Caenorhabditis elegans: one gene and its partner. The protein of the gene in region 2 binds, or shares a complex with, the protein of the main gene of each other region. Each region holds a gene or a part of one and is shown on either strand. Other genes may lie near its edges.

What was found. Proteins that work in one complex are often made in the same cells at the same time.
Region 1: dpy-26 (region 2) and smc-4 share a complex: the UniProt entries of both Caenorhabditis elegans proteins name them as parts of the condensin I complex.

The regions. Positions count from the first base shown.
Region 1 is NC_003281.10:4,585,611-4,593,518, forward strand, and holds smc-4 (Structural maintenance of chromosomes protein 4), read left to right. Parts: upstream 1-1,890; 5' UTR 1,891-1,895; coding exon 1,896-2,045; intron 2,046-2,098; coding exon 2,099-2,164; intron 2,165-2,208; coding exon 2,209-2,523; intron 2,524-2,571; coding exon 2,572-2,745; intron 2,746-2,786; coding exon 2,787-3,079; intron 3,080-3,125; coding exon 3,126-3,870; intron 3,871-3,918; coding exon 3,919-4,176; intron 4,177-4,221; coding exon 4,222-4,656; intron 4,657-4,705; coding exon 4,706-4,913; intron 4,914-4,962; coding exon 4,963-5,468; intron 5,469-5,516; coding exon 5,517-6,035; intron 6,036-6,088; coding exon 6,089-6,312; intron 6,313-6,356; coding exon 6,357-6,895; intron 6,896-6,944; coding exon 6,945-7,036; intron 7,037-7,084; coding exon 7,085-7,210; 3' UTR 7,211-7,514; downstream 7,515-7,908. Other genes in the region: F35G12.5 (SPK domain-containing protein), read left to right, coding at 1-21, 69-204, 255-380, 431-553, 599-694, 742-864; F35G12.7 (Divalent-cation tolerance protein CutA), read right to left, coding at 1,142-1,264, 1,309-1,396, 1,445-1,504, 1,549-1,625; erh-2 (Enhancer of rudimentary homolog 2), read left to right, coding at 7,623-7,722, 7,767-7,891. UniProt on the Caenorhabditis elegans protein: Central component of the condensin I complex, a complex required for conversion of interphase chromatin into mitotic-like condense chromosomes. The condensin I complex introduces positive supercoils into relaxed DNA in the presence of type I topoisomerases.
Region 2 is NC_003282.8:12,445,319-12,453,288, forward strand, and holds dpy-26 (Condensin complex subunit dpy-26), read right to left. Parts: upstream 6,018-7,970; 5' UTR 5,973-6,017; coding exon 5,931-5,972; intron 5,882-5,930; coding exon 5,539-5,881; intron 5,484-5,538; coding exon 4,504-5,483; intron 4,451-4,503; coding exon 3,729-4,450; intron 3,271-3,728; coding exon 2,653-3,270; intron 2,608-2,652; coding exon 2,514-2,607; intron 2,026-2,513; coding exon 1,957-2,025; intron 1,908-1,956; coding exon 1,803-1,907; intron 1,755-1,802; coding exon 1,239-1,754; intron 1,187-1,238; coding exon 884-1,186; 3' UTR 567-883; downstream 1-566. Other genes in the region: C25G4.3 (Ribosome-binding factor A), read right to left, coding at 432-566; Transcription regulator spe-44, read right to left, coding at 6,967-7,397, 7,445-7,657, 7,955-7,970. UniProt on the Caenorhabditis elegans protein: Required for both chromosome condensation and segregation and for X-chromosome dosage compensation depending on its binding partners.

The sequences.
Region 1 (7,908 bases), on a different chromosome or scaffold from region 2:
AACAGATGCTAGTTTGAAAAAGTATTTTATCAAGCACCTTATGCATTTTATTATTCGGTTTTCTGTAGGGAAGCAAGACGACTCGCTGAAATTTGGTGGGCAAAAAATTTGAGATTTTTTCCGCAAACCATGTACGTGCTGCAGAAACTTGATCAGAAAAATCCAGATGGGTTTAATTACACTGATTTTGAGGAAGAGGTTCAGGTAATAATTTAATCTTATTGTTAAACAAGGGAGAAATTTAGTACGTTTAGAAAGTGATCCCAAGGTCCTGGATACAGAACCATCATTCATTTACACTCTTGTCGCTGTTGAATGAAGAGAGCCTTTACGTGAAGTTCAACTTGATAATGCCCTCGGATTCTGAGAATATGAACAGAGTAAGCTATTATATTTTGATTGGTCAAGAAAGTAAATCAATATTTTTAAGGTGAAGGTCAACCAAGTAATTAAATTTCTCGGTTTCCATGAAATTGGAGACTGTGAGTTTTCTATGATCTATCAATATGTTAGTTCAAAGTCCGCTTCAGAATCTACATACAGCATCCACAAAGTGAGAGTTTTTTTAGTGGATTTCTTTTCAACTTCGAATTTTCAGTTCATGTGTGAAGACTTTCCGGGATGGGAGACACAATACAATAACGAAAAGAAAAGCATGGATAGGATCTTTGAGATAATTATTCAGGAGCAAAAAGTAAGAATGATTGAACATATATGAGAAAACATTTCAATGTTTTTCAGTTATTTTGGACGGAATATGATTATCATACATACAAACGCCATGCATACAAGATTGCTGTCCCGATGGTCTTCTCGCTTAACATTGTAGACAAAGCTGTTGGAGTTCGAAGTGATGCTCGCTAGCTAGTTAATGATAGCCCTGTCTTTCCCGTTCAACTCGATCTCTTTGAAAAAAATTCATTAAATCACATCAGAATCGCTCGAAAAAAAAATTTGAAGCTTTCAAGACAATCCCCAAAAAAGCATGCTCAAATCGTTATTTTGGAATCTTCAAATTTTCGGAGCATTTTTTCTTATTACGATGTTTTTTTCCTTAGCCAAATCTGTTTGTATGTATTTATCAGTTCCCGTTGATTTAATGTTTAGTTGGTAGAAATAAATATGAATAAAGTTTTAAGTTTCAATGTTTCGCAGTTGAAGAATTCGTAGAATCCACAATCCATCCTCCAAAATCGGGAGTTATTTTGTCAATGGCCAGTGTGAAGAAGCACGGAGTTTCAGCCGGATGAAGAGATCGAACACGCTGAAATTGAATGAAAATCTTAGTGATCCGAAATAAAAACATACAGCTGATAGCTCTTCGACTTTGCTTTCTACAGTTTTCAAGATCACGACATGCTCTTGATCTTCTTCAATTTTTCCTTGCCATTTGTATCTGAATATCTGGATTCTCGCACAGATTTAAAAAAGATAAAATACTTACACAGATGTGACTTCCGGAATAACATTGGCGCAAGCGGCTAATGCTTCAGTGACAGTTGTTCTGAAATGAAATTATGTTTTGGTAGACAGAAAACAAAAAAATACCTTGCCACAGTCATTGCAACTTCCTTACTCGGAGCTGTCACATACGCGACAACCATTTTTACAGCGGGTGTTGTCATTTTTATTTGAAAACTTATTTTATGTTGAAGCAATTCAGAAATGTTTAATTAATTACCGTACTTCATTCTAGCTCTCGTCGTATAATTAAATGTATGGGTCGCACTTGCGCGTCACGGTGTTTGCACACACTTGTATGCGCGCCAAAATTTTGTTCGAATTTCACCGCCAATAATTGTTTAGCCGCTGCTGTCCCACTTTTTGTTTTTGTTGGGAAATGTCTTTTTCATATTAAGCACTCAAATCCTAAAAATCAACGTATTTTAGGGTTGATGCCTCCGAAGACTTCGGCGGCGCCGCCACAATCAGACGAATCTGATTCTGATTTTGATGACGCTCCTGTTAAAAAGCCGCAGAAAAAGACAACGAAGCCTGTGAACCGACACAAGGAAGGATCAAAGGACCCGGAAGAAGAACTACAGGTATCCCTCTCAGAATATTTAAAAGCAGCAATAAAACTGAAATTTTTATTCAGAGAGCGGTAAATGAAAAATTTGATGGAAGCGACGGAGAGGACGACGACAGTGATCTTTTCTCATTGGTATGTTACTCTGTTTTTAATATTAAAGTCATTACATTTTACAGCAACTGCCATCGCGACCCGATTTCCTTACAAAACCGAATCGGGCGGATCGTTTGATGATTCGCAATGTTGAAGTGGACAATTTCAAGAGTTACTTCGGCAAGGCTTCCATTGGACCATTTCACAAAAGTTTCACATCAATTATCGGTCCAAATGGATCTGGAAAGTCTAATTTAATCGATTCGCTCTTATTCGTTTTCGGTTTCCGTGCTTCCAAAATTCGTTCTGCAAAAGTGTCAAATTTGATTCACAAAAGTGCTGGAAGAAATCCAGACAAATGCACAGTCACTATTCATTTTCAGCGGATCGTCGATATTGTAAGTGAATCAGAGAATCTAATAAAATATAAATTTGCTTTTTTTCAGCCTGGGCATTACGAAGTCGTCAAGGATTCTGAGTTCACAATCTCTAGAACTGCTTTTCAAAATAACTCAAGCTCATATGCTATCGATGGTCGACCGGCAACGAAGAATGAAGTTGAAGCACGCCTACGACGCGTTGACATTGATATTGAGCATAATCGTTTTCTAATTCTTCAGGTAAAAGTGACAATAAAACCGGTAATAAACATTTTTTTCAGGGAGAAGTCGAACAAATTGCAATGATGAAACCAGTGAAAACCACCAAAAGTGAAACTGGAATGGTTGAATATTTGGAGGATATTATCGGAACAAACCGACTCGAGCCCTTTGTTAAATTATTCCAGCGACGCGTCAATCGTCTTACTTGTGATCTTTCTCAACAAAGAATCGCTCGTGATCACGCCAGAAACAGCAAAGTAGCTATGGAGAATCCAGTTAGAGCTGCAATTGAGTTTCTGATGAAAGAAAACGAGGCTACAACGATTCATATGAAATTGGAGCAAAGAAGACGGTAGTTCTGAAATATTCCAGGTTAAAATAACATTTAACGTTTTAAGGCAACGATACCTAGATAAAATTGCTCCAAAACAAGCCGAACTTGACAAGATGAAAGAAGAAATGAAATCGATTGCTGAAACGCTGGATACCAACAAAAACGAATACAAACAATCTGAGGAAGCTCAGAAAGTTATGATTGAAGAGCGTTCGAAACTCGACAAAAACTTTGATAGTCTATCTAAGGAATTGAGCGACTTGGGCACTGAAGAGACTCGCAGGAAGGAGGCTTTGAAAAGGCATCAAGCTAATATTTCAAAGGCGGAAGCTGAGAAGGAAAAAGAGGTTAAAAAGCGATCAAATCTGGAAGCAGCACCCGAAAAGGCGGAGAGAAAAATCGCAAAATGTCAGGAAGAAGTGGAACAGTTGCTTGAAATAGAGAAAACAGCTAACGAGGAAGCCGACAAGAATCTTGATGAATTTGAAAAACGCTCTGAAGCGCCAAAAGAAGAACAAAAGAAGATTCAAGAGACTTGGGCGCAGAAGAGCAACGAATTTAACAAAGTTCGAGGTGAAGCAAGGATTGCACGGGAAGATTTCGAGGATTTAAAGAAGCTCGCGAATTCTGGAACGGATAAGCTTATCGAACTGAAGAAACGATTAGAATCTTCAGAAGAAAGTTATGCGAAAGAGAAGGATGAGTTAGATAAGCTGAAGCCGGAATTTGATTCTTGGAATGATAAGTTAAAACAACTGAGTACAGAATTGCCAACTCTTCGAAATACGGCAAGACAGAAGAATCAAGATGTAGGTTTTCAAAAAGCCTGATAAATTTAAATAAATCCTATTTTACAGTTGGCAAAAACGCGTGATCGTCTCGAAACTCTTCGCCAGCAAAACTCGTCTTGCTCAAGTTCGAATAAAGTTATTCAAGCCTTAATGAAGGAAAAAGAAGCTGGAAGAATTAAAAGTTTTCACGGTCGTCTTGGTGATCTCGGTGTCATTGATCCGAAATATGAGGGAGCGATTTGCACAAATTTCGGGGCCCGTCTCAACTATCTTATTGTAGGGAAAGAAGAAGATGCAAAAAATGTCATCAATTTTTTAGTTGCTGTAAGTTTTATAACCCTCATTTTCTAGGAATACATTGGTTTTCAGAATAAATTACCTCGACAAACTGTTCAGCCATTGGACAAAATTAAGTGTGATAAGAGAGATTTAGCTCCCAATCCGACGAACCCATTACCTGCTCCTCGTCTTATTGATCTGATTGATTGTGATCCTGTTCTTAAACCAGCATTCTATGATATGGTGCGTAGTGCAATTGTGGGCGATTCTACCCAGGAAGCTCAGCGAATGCATAGAATGCCCGCTTGTCGTGGTGTTACCGTGTGCACACTAGAAGGTTCTATGATTCACCCATCTGGATCATTCACAGGAGGTGGAAAAACAGTGAAAGGTCTCATTCTCACGGATAAAAATAAGATGGCTAAACAAGTGACACCTGAAGATAAAGCCGCTGAACGAGATTTAGCTGAAAAACTTGGAAAATTGAGAGATGAAGCTGATGAACTTAAAGGACAAGAGCATGAAGTAAGATATTAAAGGATAAAAATATAAAATATAACAAACCGATTTTTAGATGGACGGACAGCTAATCGAAGCACGTCGCAAAGTCGCTGAAATGAGTAATCGTTTGTCTATTGTGACTTCTTCAGTTCAATCTGCAGCTCCAGCAATTGAAACCCTCAAGAAAACGATCGCAAATCAAGAAAAAGAAGCAGCGAAAGTTAAGGTGGATGCGAAGACATTAGAAGATAAACAGAAGATTGTTGAGGAGCTCGAAAAAAGTAATTTTCCGTCATATCATCATGATTTGGGTAATATATTTCATTTCAGAACGAGATGAGTTGGGCGAAGAAGCTGCGAAAGTAAAAGCTCGTCAAGCTGAAATTCAGAGTAAGCTTGACGGAATCTTCAAGGAACTTGTACAATGTCATCGAGACGAAGCCAAAGAGTCTCTTCAGAAACGTCAAAAACTTGAGAAGGATATCGCCAAAGAAACTGCAAATATTTCCAATTCGGGCAGAAACATTGCAAAGTGCGATGAGAACATTTCCAGACACGATAAAGACATTGAGAAGATGAAGAAAAAGTGCGAAGAATTGATGGAGAAAGCAATCGATGATGAGGAAGTGAAATCGAAGAAAGAAACGGTTGAGCGCTTTGAAAAGCAAATCAAGAAGTTACAGACAAAAGGAGAGGAAATGACGAAGAAACAATCGGAATTGTCAGCTGCAGAGACGAAATTGGAGGGAGAATTGAAAAAGTGCAGTGAGGGAATAAAGGAGTTGAAGGAAAGTATGTTGGCAGATCGATTAAAGGTTGAGGATATTGAAAAGAAGGTTTGTTATTAATAAAAATCTATTAAATTAAATGTTCTTTTTTTACAGCTCGCTGCTTTGAAAGTTAATCGAATCCCACGATTCCAATTTCTCATCGAATCAAGTCGGCCAGAAGATCTCGAAATGCAAATCGATGATAAAATGCCGGTGGTTGATGAAAATCAGAGTCCAGAAGAAGTTGAACGACAAAAGAAGCATATGGCCTGCGTGATGAGTGACGCCGCGTACGCTCTCGAGTTCGAAATGCGACAGAAAGTGTTGGAAAACACTGAATCGTATGAGAATGTCGACGGAGAGGACCGGGTACCGGTCGAGCTTCTGTCCGACGAGAAAATCAACGAGATTTCGAGCCGAGACGCTGAAGAAATGCAAATGAAGCTGAAAGTGTGTGAACAACAAGTGGAAGCATTGAAAGCTAAAGTTGATATCTCATCGATTAAAGCTTATGTTGATAAGGTCAAGCAATACAATGAACAAGTGATCAAGTTGACAATAGCCACAGAAGTACATCGAAAACATAATCAAGAACTTCAACGAATCAAGCAGATGCGACTTGAAGAATTCCATGTAAGAAATCAGACGTTGATAGGTTTCTGATTAATTTTTAAAAAATATTTCAGTCTGCATTCGAATTCATTGGAAAACATTTGGTTGCCGTTTTCAAAATGCTAACTGACGGAGGAGATGCCAAATTGGAATACATTGATAAAGACGATCCATTCCGACAAGGAATCAGTTTTATGGTTCGCCCAGCGAAGAAAGCTTGGAAGCAAATTCAATTCCTTTCGGGTGGAGAGAAGACATTGTCCTCATTGGCTCTCATTTTTGCGCTCCACATGTTCAGGTACTAAATACTTTCTTTAATAATTATTATAATCCCTCGTTTAGACCTACTCCATTCTACGTTATGGACGAAATCGATGCTGCTCTCGACTATCGTAACGTTTCGATTATTGCCCAATACGTCCGACAAAAGACTGAAAACGCGCAGTTTATTATTATTTCTTTGAGAAATAATATGTTTGAACTCGCCAATCGTCTCGTTGGTATCTATAAAGTTGATGGGTGTACTCGTAATGTAGCCATTGATCCATTGAGAGTTTGTGAGATGGCGAAGCAAATTACGGACAGTTTGGGGCAGGCCACGTGTACTCTTCCTGATGAAGTAACTCAACGATTCAATGAGACAATGAGTCGGCAGAATAAGGAAATGATTGCACAAGAAAAACAATATCCGAACTTCCCATCATCAAATGAGATTTCAAAGGCCGAAAAGATTGTTAACGTTGAAGGACGTGTCAGGAAAGAATTGATTCAAACTACCCGAGATGTCACTTCAAGACCACAATCCAAAGCAACGACAAGTGGCGATGGAACTGAAAGACCGGCTAGTCGGTCAGCAAGTCGACCCGAATCTCGTATAAATCGTAAGACCAATGGCGTATTTATTATGAAAATGAAACAACTTATTTTTAGAAATGAAATATCCTGCTCCACGCCTTGTCGAAAGATCGTCGTCACAGAATGTTCGTAGCCCGAGAAAGGCACGAAACATAGAGGCCGATGAGGTTAGTTTCATTAAAAAATTTGAGACTCATTTTATTTCCCATTTTCAGACTACTCCACCTTCAAAGCGTTCAAATTCCGCAAGTACACCAAAACGATCTCCAATGAAACCGTTGACACCGTCGAGTAAAAAGAAGGAGAAGGCAATCGTTGATGACGATGATGATATGGAATAATTCATTCAAAAAAGTTCTATCCTCTTTTGTTTTGACGGGTATTAGTTCTCTGATCCCTCGACTCTTCCGTTTATTATTATTTTAAACTCGCGCAAATGATACTCATGTGCAATTCTTTAACCTCTCCCTGTTCAAGAAATCTCTCCCTTTTCCTTTTTATTTATTCTTATTCTCAATTATATTTAATTTGAGGGCCAAAGTTTGAGCCATTTTGCGTTGTATTTTTTTTTCGGCTCCAAACTGTAATTTAATGATATAATTGAGCTATGTGTCTTTTCGTTTGAAATAAGAACGTTTATCGGTGAAGCGTTGACTAGTATATCCCTCATGGTTAATCTGATTCAGATTTCCATTTTCACTATTTATTTTGTGGATTTTCACTGTAACTCGTGTTATGCATGTAATTTCAGATATGTCTACTTCTTCACATACCGTACTTCTGATTCAAACATCACCACGTCTTGATTCACGGACTTGGGGAGATTATGAGAGTGTAACTGACGCTCTTGATGGTAACCATTCCGTGAGAATTATTATGTTTAATGGAATTTTTCAGCTCTTTGCAAGATGTTTGAAGATTTCCTTTCCAAGAAATCAGCTGCTCCAGTCACATACGACGTGTCGCAAGTCTACGAGTTTCTCGATAAGCTCTCCGATGTTTCTATGATGATCTTCAATCGCGTATGTATTATTGATCT
Region 2 (7,970 bases):
TCGCCTCTAGAAAATTTCGAAAAAAATTGAATTCCGAAAAAGCAGCCTACATTTTAAAATCTTTTTCGTTATAGAAGAAAACTTAACGGTTTCTTGTAATTTTTCTCAAAAAAAAACACAAAATTTGATAAAAATGTTGACATTTTTTGTTAATTTAAATTGACAAAAAATTAATTTTCGATTTCTAATTTTTTTCCCGAAAAATCAAAAATGTTTTCAATTTATTTATCATTGATTTTCTAAAGTTTTTCTCTCATTTCGTTGAGCTCGCGGTTACGGTACCCTTTAAAGGCGCAGACCCTTTCGCATTTAGACAAAAATTGTCGTTTCGAGACCGGGTACTGTATTTTTTGCGCGAAAATCGCAAAATTTCGCGCCTGGGTAATAAACGAAAGTTGAATTTATATTTTTCAATCTAATTTCCAAAGAACCTTATCATATCTCCACTCGAATCTTGAAAGAACCGAATTTCCACATCCACGTCCCGTTTTTCGATTCACATAATTTCTGGGTCCCTTCAGAGCCGCCGTGCTAGTGGTAATCCATCGGATCCCGTTTCTATACATCTGAATTCGTAATTTTTATGGAATCAGTGAATGCTTTTTCGGAAGAATCAGAAAGGGTCTTTGTATCCCTAGAATTCTACAAGTTTTATGGCTCGAATATCATATTGAATATTCATTGTAAAGAGTGATTTGACAGAAAACTTAAAATTTTTGGTGTCGGGGTACTCAATTCAGAGAGAGAAAAATAAATAAAGAAACTTCGAGTTTCGAGAAATGAGAGATAAAATGAATAAATACATCGAATTGGGTGGATTCTGAGATTCAATTTTGATACCGAAAATAAATGATTTTTTATGGAGAAATTTAATAAAGTATGCTTATTCTTCCATTTCTTCTTCTTCTACGATTGCTCCGAGATCACTTGTTGTAGGTTGACCACCTGCTCCACGACCTTTACGAACTGGTACTGCCTTCGGACGTCGCATCAAATTCGAGAACACATTATTCGCATCGCTAGCCGTACCCTCGATGGCGTCCGGATCTTGAGTTCGTTTCCAGAACTCGTCTTGATCCTCGATTCTTCCCATTTTCAGACCACGTGGTAGGCTTTCACTTGAATTGAGAACAATGAAATCAGACATCCAGGATCGCTTTGATCGATCTTGAACAATTTGCAAGTTCTGAAAATTTAGAATGAGTTTGAAAAAATAAACTCAAAAAAACTAAACATACATTTTCATTGGCAATATGCAATAGGAAGCTGACGATAGACGAGGGCCTAACAGTCTCTCCCATTCTGGAAGGCATTGAAAGTGCCAACGAAAGAAGTGTATGGCATCCATTTATATGCACTTTTCTATTTTCAGTGTTAGCAGTTCCATATGTAGATGTAGTTGGTTGATTATTGGGACGCTCATCTGCTGCTTGATAATCTGGCATCTCTGTTAGTGCCTTCATCGTTTCGTTCACATCGTGATTCGATTTGTTCGGTGATCTATAGTCAAACACTGACGTCAACGTTTTGTCGGCCTCCATTGTCGGTGTTGCAGGTCTTCCGGTTTCATTACGATCATCGGCAGCTCGGATAGTTGTATTATTCATTCGTAGAGTCTGATTAGATGTCAACTGCTCCAGAACATATTGAATTGAAGGCATCGATAGACTATCAGTCTTCAGAATTTCAGCGAGACACTTCTTGTGCTTGGCGGCGTCAAGATTCTTTGCCTGGATCGACTGGCGATCGAATGACTGAAAATTATACAAACTTTTTTAATATAAATTTTTTGTTAAACTTACATCGTCAAATTCATCATCTGAATCTCCGTATTCACCACCGTATCGTTTGGAATGGATATTCGGGAACATTTGATTAATGTGACTTGCGGTCAAGGCTAGTTTCCTCTGAAAATGTTCAATGAGCACTGGAAAAAATATTCCGTCTTAATTTTACCTGCATATCCGGACCCATTTGTGCAGCAGCGAGTTGTTGTTCATAGTTTGGATCGTATCTGTCTTCGTCCTGTAATTAGATGCCGAATTATTTTGTAGTTTTCTCTCCGAAAATACGGTATCAAGGTCTCGAAAAGACGCATTTTTTGCAAAATTTTTGTTGATTTTTCAATAAATAAAATTTATTTATTAAAATCTGTAAATACACTAAAAAGGAATTGTTTTCTCGTGCTTTATTTCAATTTTTAATTAAAAAATCTGTTTTATAGAAAAATCACCGAAAACATCGCATCAACGATAGTCTAAAACTACAGTACTCTTTAAAGGCGCACACTCGGCTTCATTATAAAAAATTGTCGTGTCGAGACCGGGTACTGTATTTTTTGTTCTAAAGTCGCAACATTTCGCGTCTGAGCTATTTAACGGTATCGATCGTCGAAAACTTTTGGACTTTTGAACGAGCTTTTTTTAACTGGAAAAATCAACAACGAAAATTTTTCGATTCTCGATTATTCAGAAAACCGACAGGAAAACCGGCAGGTCTTAACAGAAACGTACGTAATAATCGTTGGCAAAATCGTCATCAAACGGTTGCTCTACGGCAGTTCGTAGATTCTCGTCCGAGTCAGAGCCAGTGATAGGCTCCGGATTTCTGAAAAATTAACAATTTTATATATATTTAATCCTAGACACTCACTCCATGCACCTGAATCCACTGAATGAAAGTAGCCAATTGAGACAATCCGAATCCTTGTTTCCTCTGGCTTCATCAATGAACAAATCTTGCTCAGCCTTTTGATTTTTGACACGTTCGAGTCGTATTTTCCCATATGATTTCTTGAAGAACATCCCGCTGTTACCGAGAAGACCCATTTCAAAAGCGACATGCGGCTTGTTTTCAATTCCCAAAGTTGGAAGATATAACTGTTGTTCCGAAAGGAAAGTGCTCTTCTCATCAGCAATTTTAGAGCATTTTGCAGCAGTAATTTCTCGTTCAATCTCGTCATCAGGAATGTCACGGAAGTAATGAACGAAATCTTCGACAGTGGCTTTTCTGCTCTTCGCTTTCTTTTCTCGCCGTTTCCGTTGTGCTGTAACCGCTGCTTGTCTCTCTTGATCACCAACGACTGGTGGAACCCAATGAGCATTGTCGTTCTTTCCGATATTTTGAATCTCTTCACGCATTTCTGCAGATGGTCCAACAAGTTGTGGCGGTGGTGCAGAAGTCATCAACTCTGCAACTTCATCGGCTGCAAGTGCAATGTCCTCAAGCTCCCGTTGAACATCTTGCTCATTTCGTTCTTCTACTTCAGTTCTGAAATTGAAAAAAAATGTGGATAGTCTTTTCAAAAATGTTGAATCTAGCGTTTTTCAAAGGTAAAATTATAAAAAAGCAAAGAGTATCCAATTAATATTGCCGGAAACTCAAAATGTCGAAAATAGGGGAAGCGCGGGAATTCAGAAAAGATTTAACTTTTTTTGCAAAATTGTTGAAGAAATCTCAAAATAGTTGTGGTTATTCATTACTCATGTGATGTAGAAAATTTTTTAAAAAATGTATTTTTATACATTTTCCCCCCTATTCGTCTAGTTTTTGTATTTTTTTGCATTTTTCGACACTCATGAATAGGTGAGAATGGATAAAAATAAATTTTTGCATTTATCTACATTAAATGAATAACGGTTTTTTTTGCTATATTGAAACGTTCTTCTGTCATTATAGGCAACAAAAAACCGAACAGAATCAACTTTCAATTCAAAATTGAAACTTACTCATCCATCTGCTCATTAAAAAGAATATCAGCCACCCTTCCATCATTTCTATTATTATCTCCTTCCATTTCCTCAACTTCAACCGGAGCTGCAAGTCGATCATCAAAGTCTACATCAAAAGCAGCACCGCCGGCATCGTAATCCATTTCCTCAATAGGCTCCATATCAACATCTTGTTGTTGCACTTGTTCCCGTATTTCTTGTTGAATTTGTTCTAACGGAACATCATCTTCAGCTGTACTATCCTCACCAGACCACATTTTCATCACATCAGACACTTCATCATTCACTGTGAAGTCTGCTGGACGATCTCCAGGATAGTTATTCATATAATCATCCGATTTCACCAAGAACAAATTCTTTCCAATTTCCGGAACCATATTTCTATACGATTCTTGCTCGTCAATCGCATTTTCATCCAATTGAGAACGAGCTTCTCGATTTACATTCATTTTTACAACATCATAGTTGGTCCATGCATCAGTTGCCTTAATCCAACCTTCGATTCCAGCCTGACGTGGATGTTTCGTGTCATTCTTCATAATTGCCTCATCATCTTCACCCCATTCTTCTGCACGTATTCCATTTTTCCAGACTTTTGATTCAAGTGTATCAGATGTGTTGAACACTTCCAGCTTCTTATCAAACATGTTGGCTAATGTTTGATCCATTTCATTCGGCTCAATTGGCAGTTTTCCAATGAGATGCTCATCGAGATCATTCTGGAAAATAATTTATATCATAAATGTATTCAGAGGCGCGCAAAAAAACTTACAGCTTCAAGAGGTGGAAGAACATATTCGTCACTCGCTTTCTGTGACACAGACGACTGAAGAGGAGGTGTAAGCCTATCTAGAGCGATCGTCTCATCGTTTTCTCCCTGGGCGAGTGGTAATCCTTGATTTCCTGGAAGCATTGACATATCCGATGCTCCTGCCACCGTCATATCCAGATTTGAAGGCCGATGATTCATCTCTGCGAATGTCAAGTTGGCGAGATCTTTCTCACGAGACGATTCCGCCAATGGTAGCGTTGACTTCTTCACATCCTTTGACATTATTTTGTATCTCCCAATAACTGGGCGATCTTTGACTTCGAGCATCAAGTAGTTGTCGAGAATTCGTGGCTTTTTGTCTAATGAATTGGTGAGGAGAGCTCGTGTATTTTTTACAAGTGAGACAGACACATCGGACGTGAAAAACCGATCATCAGCATTCTTATCGGCAATTCGATTATGCAACATAAGAGTTCGTCCATCGGGAGAATGAATTCCATAATAATTAAGAGAATGGAACGAGTTTGATGAATTGCACACGGATCCTTTCGTTGCCTTTTGAAATGTCGGGTTAGCTCTCAGCCAATCGATATTTGCGTCTTTCAGATCATGAGCCGTATCATCAGCACTTATGTAATTGGAAACATCAGAGAGAAGGTCAGCTCTGAGATCAGTTGCTCGTTTGATTGACAATGCATAAATGAGTTTTTCGGGGAAAATGTCTCTTTGAAGAAATGCGTCAACATCTTTGGAATTGGCTTTGAAATCAATTCGTGGCTCTCCGGCAATATTTTCCTCATCTTCTTTCCAATTCTTATCATTGTCTGCGTCAAGTTCGGTGGTTGTCAGAGCATCATCCATATTATTGAGAAAATCGAGCATTCCATTCATTCCGTCAACAACAGCCATTTTCTTTTTAGCTTTTCTGCTTTCCAGTGTTAAATGAATTTCTTCACCATTTGAATCTCGCATAACAGTTCCTGTAATAAAAAGAAACGATAAATTCCAAGAATATTAAAAAAAAAATGTAATTACCACTCGAGAGAGCTGAATCAATTTGTCGAACGTCGTGGTGAAGCCGATCGACTCGATAACCAATAATGCACTGAGCTCCTTCGAGCACAACTGCCATCTCTTGGATTGAAGCTTTTGCTTTGATCATATCTTCGATTGTATGAATTTCAAGCGGCGATTTATATTCGAAACAGTTGAGCTCTCCAACTTTTTTCTTATTCACAATATCGTCGATATGGGCGCCAATTTTTGTCATAATTGTTTCTGGCACCACATCCGCTGGCCTAATTTTTTTAGTTCCTCGAACTTTACGCAATGGGGTAGATCTGAAGCCATCATCTTCGTCATCATCTAGAACTTGTCTCTGAAAACATTACGTTTTTGGTAGAAGCAGAACATTCTTCTTTTTTTACTTTTCTGCGTCCAGTGACGTTGCTGGATGATGGTACATCCATTTCCCTGTAATTAAAACACAATTTTAGATAATAGAAAGCAGGAGAAAATAAAATATATTCAAACAAGAAGCACAATTCAATTCAAAAGTCCTCGTTGCTAAACAAAGGGTCGAAGGGAGACCGGAGTTTCGTAATGATGTTTAGTCGTCTGCGACTCTTGTCTCTCGTTGTCAACGCGGGAACGAGGCAGTTCGCACACTGAGAATCCAAAGAGAATGTAAAAAATTCACAAATTGATTGAAATTGTTATGAAGTAAATATATATTTAAAAAGAAAGTTTTTCTGATGCCTTCGACCGATCGATAAAGCTACAGTTCAATTAAAGGGACACATACAGAAAATATCTGTTCGTGGCGAGACCCTACAGTAATAAAAATATTCGCGAATGAAGATTTATGCTTTTGTGCGAATTTAATTCTCAATTGTTTACTTATGAGCGGAGTATTATCTCTCTCAAGAACAAAATCCGCTAGCAGATGATTAGCACAAATTCTATTCATCTGAAAACCGATTGTGCCCTTCTGAAAGCTTGTTGTTTGCTCAATGATATATTTTCGTCTCTATCTCTTTGTTGCCATGACACTTTGATGAGTATTCGTGTGAAACTCATTTTTTGGAATCAAGTCGACGCAATCAATAATGTTGTTGATGAAGGCGTCTTAATTCCAAAAGAATGAGGTTGAAAATTGAATATAAAAAAAATAAACATAAATTAAAAGATATTCCAGTATTACGTTGTGACGAGTAAGAGTTTGTAAAACATGAATAGAAATTTCAAATGAACACGATTTCATTATAAAGGCATGAAACATTCTAGAAGAACTACAAACAATTTTCACCGGTATGTTGAGGGGGGAAAGCTCACAAGTAAGCAGTGGGCTATTCCACTGGATCAGAATTTAATTATATTCTATAAAACATGAAGTTCTAAAATACATACGAAAAAATGCACACACTATTTGTGCGTTTGTGGATTAAATCCGTAATTGTTTAATTATTGAATATGACTAGGTCCTGGAAGACATTCAGATTCTGGATAATCGTCGTACTTGCAAACATCAATAAGTTCCTCAACCTTCTCTTCTGTAAATTCTCGAGCAGTGTGAAGACTCTCTTGACTTGAAGATGATGTTCTCGGCTGATATTTGACACTGTGCTCCTCGGCCAAAGTTGATTGAATATCGTTAAACATTTCGTCATGTTTCCGCTGTTGGTAAGCGTTTCGTTCAATCGATTGAACACGATGAACAACGACAGGTGGAATTCCGAGAGCGAATGCAGTACGAGTGAGCATGTTGGCAGTGGTGGGAGTGACAGGATTATCCATAACGGATTGTTTCAGATTGATTGCACTGACAATGATGTCGTCGCAGAAATGACCGATAACACCGGTTTGTTGCATTTGAGACCAGAAATTCATAGGATCTGAAATAAAAATAAATTAGTGATAAATGTTATGTCAAATAGCTTACCGTTCTGCAGACAATTGAGAATATCATTGAATGGCGTGCACTCATTGGATTCCTTATTTGAAGAAGTTGGCTCTTCATTAGATGACATTGATTGCAGTGGTGGCGCATCAATGAAGAACTCCTCGAAGAAACGATCGTCTTGTGGCTCCATTTTGACCATTTGTCTGGGCTTGTTGACACTTCCACGTGGACGTCCACGAGCTTTTTTGGCGCCTGAAAAATGATATGTTTCCAGAATACTGGTAGTTATACAAAAGGAGCTAGTTTTAGAATGTTCTAGCAATATAGAATAATGTTTCCTTTATCTGAAAAAACTTATATTTAAGTTGGAATAGTTGAAAAGATGCTCACAAATCTCAAACTTTGAGACAATATTTGAGCACTTTTCCGATTGTTCCAACTAAAATATAAGTTATTTTTAGACATAACAAATATTATTCCTAAATTTTAATGAAAAATATTGAGAGAACATGTCAAAACTAGATCCTTTTGTAGAATTATCGGTCGTACTCTTTCTATTATCATC